Linked DNA regions of Saccharomyces cerevisiae S288C. Changing the gene in region 2 together with the main gene of any one other region gives a genetic interaction. Each region holds a gene or a part of one and is shown on either strand. Other genes may lie near its edges.

Region 1 (2,950 bases), on a different chromosome or scaffold from region 2:
ACCTACTCCAAATTGACCAATAATAACCCTGATTCAGCGGTATGGTCTTTTGTCCTCGCTTTAAAGGGCATTCCATGGGACCTGGCATTATGGAAAAAGCTATGGAGTGCCTACAACTTAGAAACAGACGACACTGACGAGGGCAGCAGGCCAGACAGTAATCGCGATCTTTTCATATTCAAGTGGGACAAGGTACTTTTGGGTCAATTTGAAAACAACTTGGCAAGGATGCAAGATCCGAATTGGTCAAAATTTGTGAGGCAAGATCTGAAAATATCACCACCTGTTATGAAGAGGATAGTATCCACCCCTCAAATACAACAACAAAAAGAAGAACAAAAAAAGCAAAGTTTGAGTGTCAAAGACTTCGTTTCTCACTCAAGGTTCTTTAACAGAGGCACTTGAAAAAACGCATGAAGTGGTTTACAGAGGAAGTACGTAGTATAGTATAATATAGTTCATAAATCTATATTCTTTCTAAACATCGAAAACGAGATTTTTTTGGACTTCCGTCTTTTTTTTTTTTTTTGACTTGAATTCTATTAATATTTATAGCTGACCTGCGCACCAACTTTATGATCGTTGGTAGAGAATGTTTTGAATTGAACTACTTCACCATCAGGTATCTCTTTACTATTGGAGTCGGCCCATTCTAACGGAACTTTAGCATCCGCGTCTGTATATGCAAGTACTGTGAATGTGTACCCACCTTCTTTTGTTAGTTCGGGCAGAAAGGTAACGCTTGAGGTGATTTGCCTGATTAAAGCTCTGATTTGTGATTGTGTTGTATTTAAATCTACAACATCATCCTGCCCGTTGCTATTGCCAGAAATGTGTTGCACATTGAAGGACCATCTTTCCACCACCTCTCCCTCATCCTTGTCTACAATACATAATACTAATTGATTGCATTTTCCACCAAGAAGCCACCTGTGAACTTGTAGAAGAATTTTCCGAATGTAATCTTTCAGTTCATCATCATGTGTCTTTAGTAACGTAAGATCGTACTTTTTCACCGTTACGAAATCTTCTGCTGGGTATACGCCTCTTTGGTACAAAATGGAATTAATGCTGTACTCGAAAAATTCTGTAACTGTCCTTGTTGAACCCTTTAGTGATATTGATTGTGACATTAAATGTGCTATTGGGCCCCTTTGAAGTGGTTTTCAATACTCTTGTACGAGTATTTAACATCAATCATTCTTCGGGGCGATTTCTATTCTTGAAATGTTAAATCATAAACCATACGTAAACATTTGAAAAAAATTAAAGGCAAAAAAGAAAAAAACCACATTTTTGAGCCACATATACCTAGTATACTGAATTTATACTATAAAGCAGTAGGTCAGCAATGGTATGTGCACTTCAAATGTTCGTTACATTATGAATTCTTTTTTTTACTGACTACCAAGCAATTTTTTATATTTGCCACATTAAACAGCATGGCATTAAAAGGAAACAGTGGACCAAGGAATTACTGAGACAAAAGAGAGTTCAAGACGAAAAGAAAATATATGATTATAGAAGCTTGACTGAAAATGTTTTGAATATGAGAGATGAAAAAATTTACTCAATTGAAGCTCTGAAGAAAACATCAGAACTTCTTGAGAAAAATCCGGAATTTAATGCTATTTGGAATTACAGAAGGGATATTATAGCGAGTTTGGCTTCTGAGTTGGAAATACCTTTCTGGGATAAAGAGTTAGTTTTTGTAATGATGCTATTGAAGGATTACCCCAAAGTCTATTGGATATGGAATCACAGACTTTGGGTCTTGAAACATTATCCTACGAGTTCCCCTAAAGTGTGGCAAACTGAACTTGCTGTCGTGAATAAGTTATTGGAACAAGATGCAAGAAATTACCACGGATGGCATTACCGCAGAATAGTTGTTGGTAACATAGAGAGTATCACTAATAAAAGTCTTGACAAGGAGGAGTTTGAATACACAACAATAAAGATTAACAATAACATTTCAAATTATTCTGCATGGCACCAAAGAGTACAGATCATAAGCAGAATGTTTCAGAAAGGAGAGGTTGGGAATCAAAAGGAGTATATTCGGACTGAAATATCTTATATCATCAACGCTATGTTTACCGACGCCGAAGACCAATCCGTATGGTTTTATATCAAGTGGTTCATTAAAAACGACATTGTTTGTAAAACTCTGGACGAACAAGAGTACCTTAAAATGTTGAAAGACTTGAGAGAAAACATTCTGTTAATAAATAATGACGAAATTGAATTTTCCGGGAAGCAAAATATTTGGTGCTTGAAAATTTTATTAGTTCTCGAAGATATTCTGGAAGAAAAGGAAGCTCTAACGGAAAGAAGCTCGGAACAATATTTGGTCCAATTAATAGATGCGGATCCGTTAAGAAAGAATAGATACCTACATCTCCTGGAGCAGCATAAGTGATGATATACATATATAAACATATATATATATGTATATATGATGGAAGCCTGTTCACTATAAGCGGGATTTCATTTGACACCTTCAATGCACGAAAGTATATGCATATTTTTCTTTTATTGTAATATTACCGATGATTTGAACAAAGAAATAAGTATATTAGTGTAGAGAATAGATGTATACAAGTTCTAAATACTATAGGTTAGACTATGCAGGAGGGTTTAACCCTGGATTAATTTAGCTGTCAAAGATTCCAAATCCTCCAAAGTTTGTGGTTCTTCCACTTCAATAATGTCATCATCAACTGAATTGGATGGATTGTGGCCGTGGGAATAGTCAACAGTTCTAGCTTTCTTTTTCAAGTGGCCTTCCGAGTCAGGCATATCACCGTCGCTCATATCATCGCTCAAGTTTCCTGTTCCTAAATATGCTACTGTCTTCCCTTCTTCTTCATCTCCAGAAATTTCTTCTTCCATAGCAGCCTCCATTTCCCTTCTCATGGCTTCTAGTCTTTTTCTCTTCTTCTCTTGT
Region 2 (4,203 bases):
TAAAGAACACCTTACCGAAGGTGGTAACATGGCCTTCCACAACCATTTGAATGATTTTGCTCATATTGAAGATCCTCTGGAAAGAAGAAGATTGGCTTTGGAGTCCATCGATGACGAAGGTTTCGGTTGGCAACAAGTTAAGACCATCTCCATTGCTGGTGTTGGTTTCTTGACAGATTCTTATGATATTTTTGCCATTAATTTGGGTATCACTATGATGTCCTACGTTTACTGGCACGGTAGTATGCCAGGTCCAAGTCAAACCTTGTTGAAGGTTTCCACTTCTGTTGGTACTGTTATTGGTCAATTTGGTTTTGGTACTTTAGCTGATATTGTTGGTCGTAAGAGAATTTATGGTATGGAACTTATTATCATGATTGTCTGTACCATTCTGCAAACCACTGTTGCTCATTCTCCTGCTATTAACTTCGTTGCTGTTTTAACATTCTACCGTATTGTCATGGGTATTGGTATCGGTGGTGACTACCCACTATCTTCTATTATTACTTCTGAATTTGCCACTACCAAATGGAGAGGTGCCATCATGGGTGCTGTCTTTGCTAACCAAGCTTGGGGTCAAATCTCCGGTGGTATCATCGCTCTTATCTTGGTTGCTGCTTACAAGGGCGAACTAGAATACGCAAACTCTGGTGCTGAATGTGATGCTAGATGTCAAAAGGCTTGTGACCAAATGTGGAGAATCCTTATTGGGTTGGGTACCGTTCTAGGGTTGGCATGTTTGTATTTCAGATTAACTATTCCAGAATCTCCTAGATATCAATTGGATGTTAACGCTAAGTTGGAACTTGCTGCTGCCGCACAAGAACAAGATGGCGAAAAGAAAATTCACGACACCAGTGATGAAGACATGGCAATTAACGGTTTGGAAAGAGCTTCTACTGCCGTCGAATCTCTTGACAATCATCCTCCAAAGGCTTCGTTCAAAGATTTCTGCAGACATTTTGGTCAATGGAAGTACGGTAAGATTTTGCTAGGTACTGCTGGTTCATGGTTTACCTTAGATGTTGCTTTCTACGGGTTGAGTTTAAACAGTGCTGTTATTCTGCAAACCATCGGTTATGCCGGTTCCAAAAACGTTTACAAGAAACTGTATGATACTGCTGTCGGTAATCTGATTTTGATTTGTGCTGGTTCATTACCTGGTTACTGGGTATCCGTCTTCACTGTCGATATAATCGGTAGAAAACCAATTCAATTAGCCGGTTTCATCATCTTGACCGCTTTGTTCTGTGTCATCGGTTTCGCATACCATAAACTTGGTGACCATGGTCTGTTGGCTCTTTACGTCATTTGTCAATTCTTCCAAAACTTCGGTCCAAACACAACCACCTTTATTGTTCCTGGTGAGTGTTTCCCAACTCGTTACAGATCTACTGCTCATGGTATTTCTGCTGCATCTGGTAAGGTCGGTGCCATTATTGCACAAACCGCTTTGGGTACTCTAATCGACCATAACTGTGCTAGAGACGGTAAGCCAACCAACTGTTGGTTACCTCACGTCATGGAAATTTTCGCCTTATTCATGTTGTTGGGTATCTTCACAACCTTGTTGATCCCAGAAACTAAGAGAAAGACTCTAGAAGAAATTAACGAGCTATACCACGATGAAATCGATCCTGCTACGCTAAACTTCAGAAACAAGAATAATGACATTGAATCTTCCAGCCCATCTCAACTTCAACATGAAGCATAAAAGCCTCAAAGATGCACTAAAACTTGTAAACTAGAACAAATAATACAAAAACATTTTTATAAACTTATTATCAAACCCCTTACATAATCTATAAATACTGTCAGGTTACATATTTATTCGATAATTTCTTTTAATTTCATTATTTCCTCACATCTCTCTGCCATCCTGTTGGCTGGTGCCAGAGCAGAGCATATCGTCCTTTCTTTTTTAGTTCCAGACGTTACCCGACATATCATTTCTCGAGCCTCTGGAAACCACGAAACGTTTTACAAATTGCACATCTAAAAGAAATATAAACACAGATCAGGTATCTCATAAAGTACATTAATCGACTAAGCAAGCGACTTGAGACAATGAGAGAGGTCATTAGTATTAATGGTATGTATGCGTTCCTTTTTTTGTTCAATATTCGCAACCAATGGCACCTGTGGGACAGGGAAAGAAGTTTGATCTGATCTGGTTTGATTCATTCCCAATTGGTCACCATCTGGTTGATTTACGGCAAATAATTTGACTTGTACCAGCACAGTTTACTAACAGTTTCTTTTTCTCCATTTTTTCTGGGCATACTCGGACGAAAAAGCTCATAATTGACCTCATTACATGGGGAGTGATTTTTGTGTCTTCTTCTTCGGAGGATTGCTGGAACTTTTGTTATTTTTCTTTTTTACAACAGTTGGTCAAGCAGGTTGTCAAATAGGTAATGCATGCTGGGAATTGTACTCCCTAGAGCATGGCATCAAGGAAGACGGCCATTTGGAGGATGGCTTGTCAAAACCTAAGGGAGGTGAAGAAGGATTTTCTACATTCTTCCATGAAACGGGGTACGGAAAATTCGTCCCAAGAGCAATCTACGTGGATTTAGAGCCCAATGTTATCGATGAAGTACGTACAGGACGTTTCAAGGAGCTTTTCCATCCAGAACAATTGATTAACGGTAAGGAAGATGCCGCCAATAACTACGCAAGAGGCCATTATACAGTGGGTAGAGAAATAGTGGATGAAGTTGAAGAAAGAATTAGAAAGATGGCCGACCAATGTGACGGTTTACAAGGGTTCTTGTTCACCCACTCCCTCGGTGGTGGAACTGGTTCCGGTTTAGGTTCCCTGTTATTAGAAAACTTATCGTATGAATACGGGAAGAAATCCAAATTGGAATTCGCCGTTTATCCTGCGCCTCAATTGTCTACTTCCGTCGTGGAACCTTACAACACGGTTTTAACCACGCATACCACCCTGGAACACGCAGACTGTACGTTTATGGTCGATAACGAAGCCATTTACGATATATGCAAGAGGAACTTGGGAATTTCTAGACCAAGCTTCAGCAACTTGAACGGGTTGATTGCCCAAGTGATATCATCTGTTACAGCCTCTTTGAGGTTCGATGGTTCATTAAACGTGGATTTGAACGAATTTCAGACCAACTTGGTACCATATCCAAGAATTCATTTCCCTTTGGTTTCCTACGCACCCATCTTGTCCAAGAAGAGGGCCACCCATGAATCCAACTCCGTGTCAGAAATCACAAACGCTTGTTTCGAACCGGGCAATCAAATGGTTAAGTGTGACCCAACAAAGGGGAAGTACATGGCTAACTGTTTGTTATACAGAGGTGACGTGGTGACCAGAGATGTCCAAAGAGCCGTCGAACAGGTGAAGAATAAAAAAACAGTACAAATGGTGGATTGGTGTCCAACAGGATTTAAGATTGGTATTTGTTATGAGCCACCAAGTGTGATACCAAGTTCCGAATTAGCCAATGTGGATAGAGCTGTCTGCATGCTATCCAACACCACTGCCATCGCGGACGCTTGGAAGAGAATCGATCAGAAATTCGACCTGATGTATGCCAAACGTGCTTTCGTCCATTGGTATGTCGGTGAAGGTATGGAAGAAGGTGAGTTCACCGAAGCTAGAGAAGATTTAGCTGCCTTAGAAAGAGATTATATTGAAGTGGGTGCCGATTCTTACGCTGAGGAGTTCTAAGAAAGTGGCTCTGATCCCGATACCCACTTATAGATTTATATTTACTTAATGTCCATATGTATATACATATATATATATATATATATATACGCTTATATATATATATGCATATTCTATCCAAATAAAGATACCTCTAATTATCGAATTATTTTTCACTTACCTTTAGGTGTACAGTTAGAACAATAGCTTATTAAATTTATTTTTTTCCCTATGTTCCGCGGAATATTGAAAAATTTGAAAATATTCTAAGACAAAAATACCCATAAAAAACAAAGAGTTTTGAGCTCATCTCGTTGCCACCCAAACTTATCACAAAAAAGGAAGCACTCCAAGAACCGCGTGAAGAAAATGTCAAAAGAAGACATAGAAGGAACTAACATTCTAGACGAACCTGTCCACGGGATCTATATTCCTGCCGCGCTATTCGTTGTTGGTGTTGCAATCACCACGTATATGTCTGGTGAATTGAAAATCCTGTGGAGTTTACCCATTCTCTTCAT
Region 3 (3,400 bases), on a different chromosome or scaffold from region 2:
AGCAATGAACAGAGAAGAAACTCCGTTGTTCAAGAAGGCAATGATTTCATCATCGCTGAATTTACCACTTGGCAAGGACAAAGCCACCAATGGAACTTCTTCCTCTTTGGAGAACTGGAGAATCTCTTCATTACTCAGGCTCGAGCCATCCAAAAGTACCTGACCAACAAGTGAAACGTATTCCTTCTTACTATTCCATGAGGCCAGATCATCAATTAACGGTAGAATCGGCAAAACCATTATTCAGAAAAAAAATTTTGTAAACTATTGTATTACTATTACACAGCGCAGTTGTGCTATGATATTTTTATGTATGTACAACACACATCGGAGGTGAATATAACGTTCCATATCTATTATATACACAGTATACTACTGTTCATAGTCATATCCTTTTCTTACCTTCTATATCGAATGACTGATAAAAAAACGTGAGTCACTGTGCATGGGTTTAGCAATTAATTAACTAATTTACCGGAGTCACTATTAGAGTCAGTTCGACTGCCTAGAAGAACTGCTGGTTGTCAGGATTGTGATGGGGGCATTCTGCTGTATTATGACCCATCGTATCGCAATGCTCACACCACTGTTGTCTTCCTGCCGTGGTATCGACTGGTGCAGGGGGGTCGAAAATTGGCAACGATTCCACGGCTGTTTGTGCTTGAGCCTGTTCCAACTGTTTGATTTTTTCATTAGCCTCTTCAAGTTTTTTCGTTAAGGATGCCACCTCTTCCGATGAGGAATCTTGTGGTTTTGTCAAAAATAGTTCCTTGCTCAAATTTTGGTATTCTTTACTGAGCGAATCGTTATGCATTTTCAATTGTTCGCGTTCTTTAGCCCACTTTGTCTTGTGTAACTCAAATTGGTCTTCTATGTTGCGTAATTGTTCCAGCTGTTTTTTCAGGAGTTCGACATCTTCGTTGGCACCAGTGGGTTGATTATGAGAAAGATTTCTCTCTTCGTTTTCTTTGATCTCTTCGTGTAGTTGGCTTACGACAGCAAGTAGCTGTTCATTCTCAGCGTCAAAAAACTGCTTTTGTTTGGCTTGCTGTCTGCGTTCGAGCTCCAATTGTTGCTTGAGATGGTCTATCTCTTTCTCTCTTTCTTGTATTGTGGCTTCATACCTATCAAAAGTCGGTTGCACTTCTTCGAGGACCATTCTTTGGTCATCGAGTAGCCTTTTGTAGTGTAGTTGTTTCCTTTGTAGCTTTTCGATGGTCAATTGGGCTTCTCGTAATTCAATTGTAACTTCGCTGCTATTGAGGTCATTCATGTGGCCATTGTCCGGTTTCCAATCGCTGGTGGTGTTGTGATTAGCCTTTCTGTCTGATGACAGGATAGAGTCGACCTCCATTCTGTCTTCTCTGTTATCGTAACCAAATTCTTGCTGTTGATGGTGATCCGATGCCTCCTGGTCCATCGACTGTTGATTACCGCTGTGCCGACTGGTGATCCGGAAACTTCTCATGGGTGTGGGGGATTTAGGATCATCCATGGGAGAGAACTGGTTAGTGAGCCTCACAATAGATCTGTTTTTGGGTATTGATAGCGGTTCCATTGTCGTTCTTCTCGAGGTTTGCGATATCGATGCCTTCTCGATCAATGATGCGACTTTTTGCAACTGAATAAATAGTCCACTTTGAGGATACTCCGTTTGAAAATACTTCTTCCCCATGAATGATCCATCGTTCTTACCAATGTTGGCAAGTAAGTCTACACCAGCAAACATTCCAGCTTTCGTGTCCACTGGACCCACGTATTTCAGTTGTCCGCGCCCCAAATTTGGGATTTGTATGAAACATCCTATCTTTCTTTGATATCTATCCATGGTATTTCAAACGCATACACAGCCAGCCACAGCTCAACGCCTTTTACCTTGTCCTTTGATGCCTGTCTCGTCCAAACGTTTTTGGTGTCTTGGCCAATTGCCCTTCTGAAAAATCTCACTGTCCGCAACTCATTAAAAGATACCCAAGCAAGCTACACGATAAAGAAAGGAGAAAGTTCATTAAAAGAACGTACATATAGCGATACAAACGTATAGCAAAGATCTGAAATGGATACGGATAAGTTAATCTCAGAGGCTGAGTCTCATTTTTCTCAAGGAAACCATGCAGAAGCTGTTGCGAAGTTGACATCCGCAGCTCAGTCGAACCCCAATGACGAGCAAATGTCAACTATTGAATCATTAATTCAAAAAATCGCAGGATACGTCATGGACAACCGTAGTGGTGGTAGTGACGCCTCGCAAGATCGTGCTGCTGGTGGTGGTTCATCTTTTATGAACACTTTAATGGCAGACTCTAAGGGTTCTTCCCAAACGCAACTAGGAAAACTAGCTTTGTTAGCCACAGTGATGACACACTCATCAAATAAAGGTTCTTCTAACAGAGGGTTTGACGTAGGGACTGTCATGTCAATGCTAAGTGGTTCTGGCGGCGGGAGCCAAAGTATGGGTGCTTCCGGCCTGGCTGCCTTGGCTTCTCAATTCTTTAAGTCAGGTAACAATTCCCAAGGTCAGGGACAAGGTCAAGGTCAAGGTCAAGGTCAAGGACAAGGTCAAGGTCAAGGTTCTTTTACTGCTTTGGCGTCTTTGGCTTCATCTTTCATGAATTCCAACAACAATAATCAGCAAGGTCAAAATCAAAGCTCCGGTGGTTCCTCCTTTGGAGCACTGGCTTCTATGGCAAGCTCTTTTATGCATTCCAATAATAATCAGAACTCCAACAATAGTCAACAGGGCTATAACCAATCCTATCAAAACGGTAACCAAAATAGTCAAGGTTACAATAATCAACAGTACCAAGGTGGCAACGGTGGTTACCAACAACAACAGGGACAATCTGGTGGTGCTTTTTCCTCATTGGCCTCCATGGCTCAATCTTACTTAGGTGGTGGACAAACTCAATCCAACCAACAGCAATACAATCAACAAGGCCAAAACAACCAGCAGCAATACCAGCAACAAGGCCAAAACTATCAGCATCAACAACAGGGTCAGCAGCAGCAACAAGGCCACTCCAGTTCATTCTCAGCTTTGGCTTCCATGGCAAGTTCCTACCTGGGCAATAACTCCAATTCAAATTCGAGTTATGGGGGCCAGCAACAGGCTAATGAGTATGGTAGACCGCAACAGAATGGTCAACAGCAATCCAATGAGTACGGAAGACCGCAATACGGCGGAAACCAGAACTCCAATGGACAGCACGAATCCTTCAATTTTTCTGGCAACTTTTCTCAACAGAACAATAACGGCAACCAGAACCGCTACTGAACGATGATTCAGTTCGCCTTCTATCCTTTGTTTACGTATTTGTTTATATATATAACTTTATTTTTTTTTATTAATTGGGCTGCAAGACAATTTTGTTGTCAGTGATGCCTCAATCCTTCTTTTGCT
Region 4 (5,361 bases), on a different chromosome or scaffold from region 2:
TTTACCTCCCACGATTTTCTCTCGATGTTGAAAGTCTGCAAAAACTACTCTGATTCTGATTTTTTCTATTTTGCTTTCTATAATTTGTTGGTTACACAAAGTCACAAATTTTTTCTTTTCGATAAGTTTAGTGATAAGTTTTCGTGGAGGTTGCCAATACAAATCGGAGATGCAATTTCTGAATGGCTATCCAGCTTAGAAATTGATATACAAGAAAACACCGATAGAGTTTTGCAGATAACAGATGACGTCGGCGAATGGTATGTTGAGAATAAACCATTTAAGTCAGAAAAAGGGACCATTCAACCAATAAACATAATGGAATTGCGCAAAATTTTTGGGGAGCGAAAAACTCTATTTCATATGGATTCAGAAATTTTCCAAAAATCTAAAGCAAAAAGAGATAAAGAAATGCGGAATGAAGCTTTATTTACCGCAAATGATGCGGAATATAATTTTGCTGCGGATGTATCCTATGCAAAGAGAGTAGAAAATCTATTTTCTTACATAAGATCTAAGCAAATGCAACAAAAATAATGATTATATGTAAAATTTGCCGTTTACATTCTATAAAGTGATATCAGACTCTAATATATTCGCCAATTCATGTTTCTGGCAGGCCACTTGTAGAGCTTGGAGTTGCCTGGTGACACCTAATTCCAAAAATATCTGGAACATACCTTGTAAAGCGACATTTTGATCAGTCATAAATTTTGATTTTGTTGCGGCGTATTCACGTTTCACAAGAACCAACAACCTTTTCAGTATTATGTTGGATAGATTCTTCTGGTCAGCATTTTCTCTCATTGTGTGGTAACAAGATATTGCCAAGAACGGGAAGAATTTGATCACGCTTACTCTCAATGTCGTACAATCTAATAAATGTAGGTTATAGAACTTGGCGAAAACACCCTGAAAATTAAAATTTGGATGTAGAACAACCAACCCAGATTCCATGATTCTAGTCCAAAATTTTACACAATGAATGGTGAATTTGATGGTGTCAAATCTCATACCTCCTGTTAATGGATCCTTGTTACGATCGCGTATTCTTGATTCAGCGATTTGTTTAGCGCTTGGAATTATTCTGATTAAATCGTGGCATAATTCCAGCTGTTGTGAAGGAGACAAAGATCTGTAGTATACGATAAATGAATCTATTGATGAAGTAAGCTGAGAATCTGTAAAATGTATTGCTCCAGCGCTCACTGCATATCCTTTCCAGAATTCTTCACTTAAACCTTGCTTGTGACGGAAATTGAGTATCGAAGAGTCAGATAACACAGTGATTTGTGATGTGGCCGAAGCAAGTAATTGATAACTTAGTTTTCTGATCTCTGGTACAGGTTCCGCCAGCAATCTCGTTAATTTTGGATTGATGGAGTCGCAATCACCAGATAAGAAATCGGGATGGGATTGCATAAGTTTTAAAGCCTGTATTCTTACCAGACGTCCTACATCACCCTGTTGAGTTATTGTATAATCATCGAGACAGTTGATAATGATGTTGCGAAATTTTCGATACGAATTCGACGGGAGTAAGCTTATTCTAACATCCCAATGATGATCAAGTTCGCCTATCAAAAGCGATCTGGATTGAGGTGACAATAGGGGGAACTGGGAGAAGAAAAGGGAACACATCTTTTCTTGATCGGGCATATGACATATTGATCGGCAAGTCAGTTCGTTATCTGATTTAATTAATTGAACAATCCTTGTGTAGTTTAGGCTAACGCATTGAGATATTATTTGCTGTATTATAGGGATGAATTCGTTGTACAGATTTAACTTCTTTTGTGGGGATACTATGTCTACAAATTTCCAAAACAATTCCTGATTGAAATCATTTTGTCCTGTTAATTGCCAGTATTTCAAAATGACAAAAATTTGAAACAGTTCGGGCGAATTATCGTTAAATTGTCTTTTCGCTTGAGTAGTTAATTGGAATTTTATCTTTTTCTGGTAAATGTCGATACAAATCTCGCTTATTTTCGGGCAATTTACGTCATTTTCGAATAGTTTCAAGTACAAGTACAAAATTTGACAATTTTGTGTAACTGAGCTGCCAGCCTTGTTTAATACCTCTTGCAATAAAGCGGGTGAAGATAATTTCGACTTGATTAATGGAACTAGGTTATAATCTATGTTGAGTTTCATTGTGGTCAAATGTAAATTCTCTAGTAAATTCCAATTGAAGGACCAATCGCGGAATACCTTCCATACGCAAACAGCACTTTTGGAGGTGTTTTCGGGGTTGAACAGCCTACGAATTAGACCAGAGTTCTCCTCGAAAGACCTCGGTAGATCCTTCCAATTTGCTTGCAATATCAAAGCAATGTCATTTTGATTTAGCGCAAGAGATTTGTTGGACCTGCCCAATAATTCTTGGAGCGCGGCAAAACTCGAGTATCTGATTATTAATTCGGGGTCAAAAAAGGCGTTTATTAACAGATGAGAAAGTAGTGATTGTAGAACCTGCGGCGATAAACTATTGCTACGGTTTGACCTTATTACTGACCAGATAATGAAGTTTGTCGAGTCCCTGATATGGTGGCCCTTGATGATTTGAAAGTGAGATTTCTGAAAATGACATGTTTTAGGGATGATCAGAGTCAATACGCGGTCGACTAGATCTATAGGCAGAATTTTGGCCAGAGCCACCTCGGCGATGATCAGAAGGGAAGTGTGCAGCTCATTGCTATCGATAGAATCGCAAGGAGCCTGTAATAGGGAAACCGTATTTTCGATGGTATAATCAATGAGCTCGATAAAAGATGCTGGATCTGCCTGGTGCAGGAACTTGGCAATTTTAGCGAAGGAGTGTGCCAATTGGAATCTTGTGTCTGTGGAATTCGAACTTAAATGGTCATGGAAGAATTCTACTATAGCATCTAGGATATCATGAGAGCCATGATTGAACGAAATCTGGAATAATTTTGGCAGCAGCTTTATTCCGTCATTGGACAGTGCAACTTGTTGTAAGTGTCTTAGATTTTCATTGGAGAAGTAGTAGTTTGCCTTTTCCGAAGACTGAATAAACAGCTTTAAAAATTGGTTGAGAAACGGCACATTTGCCTGTTCCCGTTCCGGTAGCTGGTCAAAGGCATCTGTGAAGTTTTTGAAATATAAAACGGCTTTGATCTTGTTAATTGGAGGTATGCAAATGGGGTAGTTCTCGAACCTGGAAGATACTTGAAGCGTTTTGTTGAATTTATCTTTGAATGCGTAAGGTGAAAGCAGAATGACGCTTAGCCAAGAAAGGTTTAGATAGACGCACAAGACATCGCTGAAAGAAGAGGGCGAGGCTCGATCTTGTAAATAGTTTAAAATTTCGTTTAATCTAAAAATACTTGTATCTAATGATTTAAGGACTTTTGAGTGGGAGATCTTGTCAAGATTGTAGAAAAGCTCCGCAACAAGTTTCTGATCACGCTGTGACATACAAAAGAACGACTTGGTCAAAAGAGGCACGCATCTCGGTAGTATGGTGTCTAGAAGTGCAGGATCATCTTGAAATTTGTTGATCGCGGCAATCGTCTGTTGGTGCTTTTCTGGAGAAACGGTCTGAACTCCAGATTGTATCGAGTCCAGCAAGGCCCGAATATTGTTCATGATTGAAGGGTGTAAAGTGCGTGTGGTGGCGTTCTTTCCAAAAATATTATCGTCTTTCCTTTTTTTTTCTTTTTTTTTTTTTCAATAGTAATAGTATTTCCTAGTGATCTCGGCGATTTTCCTTGATTTCTCCAAAAGCGTTTTTACCCGGACGATATGAATCCATCTATTAAACATCATAACATCATATTATTTTTTTCTGTGCTTCTAAAACGGAGATCAAATACCGGGCCCGCGCGCGATGGCCGGATGTCCGTCCATACTGCAATGTGAATTCCCGCGCGGTTCAAATCTTGTCACAAGTTTGTCAAAATTGCTTGTCATGTCTGCCAAATCTCCAGGGTCCTAAATCTGAGGTAGCACGGCACGGCACAAGATGGTACCCATGGTGCGTGACGACAGCCGCTACTTGCACGGCTTTGTTCCGGCAGCCCGGGTACCCGCGCTGCGAGTTGAAACATCATCAAACCAAAAGGGAAGCGACGTTAGTTTTTTTCATTGCGCTAGCTATGACGTTTGGGTGGCCTAGCCGGTTCGCGTGTGCCTGTCGCTTTTGTCGCTTTTCAACTTCTGCCCGATATTTCCTATCAAAGGAAAATGGGACGTTTTCAACCCCTCGCTATCATCGTGCCTGCACTCTGCCTATCGCCAACTACACCGGGGTTTTATCTGCTTCACCCCTCCATCCAGTGCTGATAACAAGAAGAACCTTGCAGGGTAGGGCAGGACCTACGGCCAAAATACTAATTATGTCTGTTTATGTACATGCCCCAATCTGAATATTCCATGAATGTAGGCACAGCATATCTCCATCCATGTACTGATACAGACGCATAAACATATATGTATATACATACTTATACACTCGAATATTTGTAGACTGATGTACTTCTATATATATATAGGGGGTTTGTGTTCCTCTTCCTTTCCTTTTTTTTTCTCTCTTCCCTTCCAGTTTCTTTTATTCTTTGCTGTTTCGAAGAATCACACCATCAATGAATAAATCATGGTAAATATACTGCCCTTCCACAAGAACAATAGACACAGCGCGGGAGTCGTCACCTGCGCGGACGATGTTAGCGGCGACGGTAGCGGCGGCGACACCAAGAAGGAGGAGGATGTTGTCCAGGTAACGGAATCACCATCGTCCGGGTCGCGCAATAATCATCGCAGCGACAATGAAAAAGATGACGCCATCCGTATGGAGAAAATATCTAAGAACCAGTCCGCGTCGTCCAACGGCACCATCCGCGAGGATTTGATTATGGACGTGGACTTGGAGAAATCGCCCTCCGTCGATGGCGATAGCGAGCCGCACAAACTAAAACAAGGTTTGCAGTCGCGCCATGTGCAACTGATCGCGCTGGGCGGCGCCATCGGTACCGGTTTGCTGGTGGGGACTTCATCCACGCTTCATACGTGCGGTCCCGCGGGGCTGTTCATATCGTACATTATTATTTCCGCGGTGATCTACCCGATCATGTGCGCGCTGGGCGAAATGGTGTGCTTTTTGCCCGGTGATGGTTCTGACAGTGCCGGGTCGACGGCCAATCTGGTCACTAGGTACGTTGACCCTTCGTTGGGCTTCGCCACTGGGTGGAATTACTTCTACTGCTACGTCATTTTAGTGGCCGCCGAGTGTACGGCGGCATCCGGTGTGGTCGAATACTGGACCACCGCGGTTCCCAAGGGCGTTTGGATCACGATCTTTCTATGCGTGGTTGTTATACTAAACTTTTCCGCGGTCAA

What was found.
Region 1: mutations in TUB3 (region 2) and MAD2 together harm fitness more than expected from each alone (negative genetic interaction), as found in Saccharomyces cerevisiae (5 studies listed by BioGRID, with this or other methods).
Region 3: mutations in TUB3 (region 2) and BIK1 together harm fitness more than expected from each alone (negative genetic interaction), as found in Saccharomyces cerevisiae (4 studies listed by BioGRID, with this or other methods).
Region 4: mutations in TUB3 (region 2) and CIN1 together harm fitness more than expected from each alone (negative genetic interaction), as found in Saccharomyces cerevisiae (6 studies listed by BioGRID, with this or other methods).

The regions. Positions count from the first base shown.
Region 1 is NC_001142.9:385,840-388,789, reverse strand, and holds MAD2 (spindle checkpoint protein MAD2), read right to left. Parts: upstream 1,134-2,950; coding exon 543-1,133; downstream 1-542. Other genes in the region: VPS53 (Vps53p), read left to right, coding at 1-405; Rab geranylgeranyltransferase BET4, read left to right, coding at 1,352-1,354, 1,442-2,422; RNA-dependent ATPase HCA4, read right to left, coding at 2,641-2,950. UniProt on the Saccharomyces cerevisiae protein: Central component of the spindle assembly checkpoint which is a feedback control that prevents cells with incompletely assembled spindles from leaving mitosis. Thought to be recruited to unattached kinetochores by MAD1.
Region 2 is NC_001145.3:21,548-25,750, reverse strand, and holds TUB3 (alpha-tubulin TUB3), read left to right. Parts: upstream 1-2,067; coding exon 2,068-2,092; exon of another isoform or gene 2,093-2,187; intron 2,188-2,390; coding exon 2,391-3,703; downstream 3,704-4,203. Other genes in the region: phosphate transporter PHO84, read left to right, coding at 1-1,714; PGA3 (cytochrome-b5 reductase), read left to right, coding at 4,052-4,203. UniProt on the Saccharomyces cerevisiae protein: Tubulin is the major constituent of microtubules, a cylinder consisting of laterally associated linear protofilaments composed of alpha- and beta-tubulin heterodimers.
Region 3 is NC_001135.5:68,094-71,493, forward strand, and holds BIK1 (Bik1p), read right to left. Parts: upstream 1,829-3,400; coding exon 506-1,828; downstream 1-505. Other genes in the region: HIS4 (trifunctional histidinol dehydrogenase/phosphoribosyl-AMP cyclohydrolase/phosphoribosyl-ATP diphosphatase), read right to left, coding at 1-240; prion domain-containing protein RNQ1, read left to right, coding at 2,057-3,274. UniProt on the Saccharomyces cerevisiae protein: Required for nuclear fusion, chromosome disjunction, and nuclear segregation during mitosis. Probably required for the formation or stabilization of microtubules during mitosis and for spindle pole body fusion during conjugation.
Region 4 is NC_001147.6:988,040-993,400, reverse strand, and holds CIN1 (Cin1p), read right to left. Parts: upstream 3,613-5,361; coding exon 568-3,612; downstream 1-567. Other genes in the region: MNE1 (Mne1p), read left to right, coding at 1-537; proline permease PUT4, read left to right, coding at 4,619-5,361.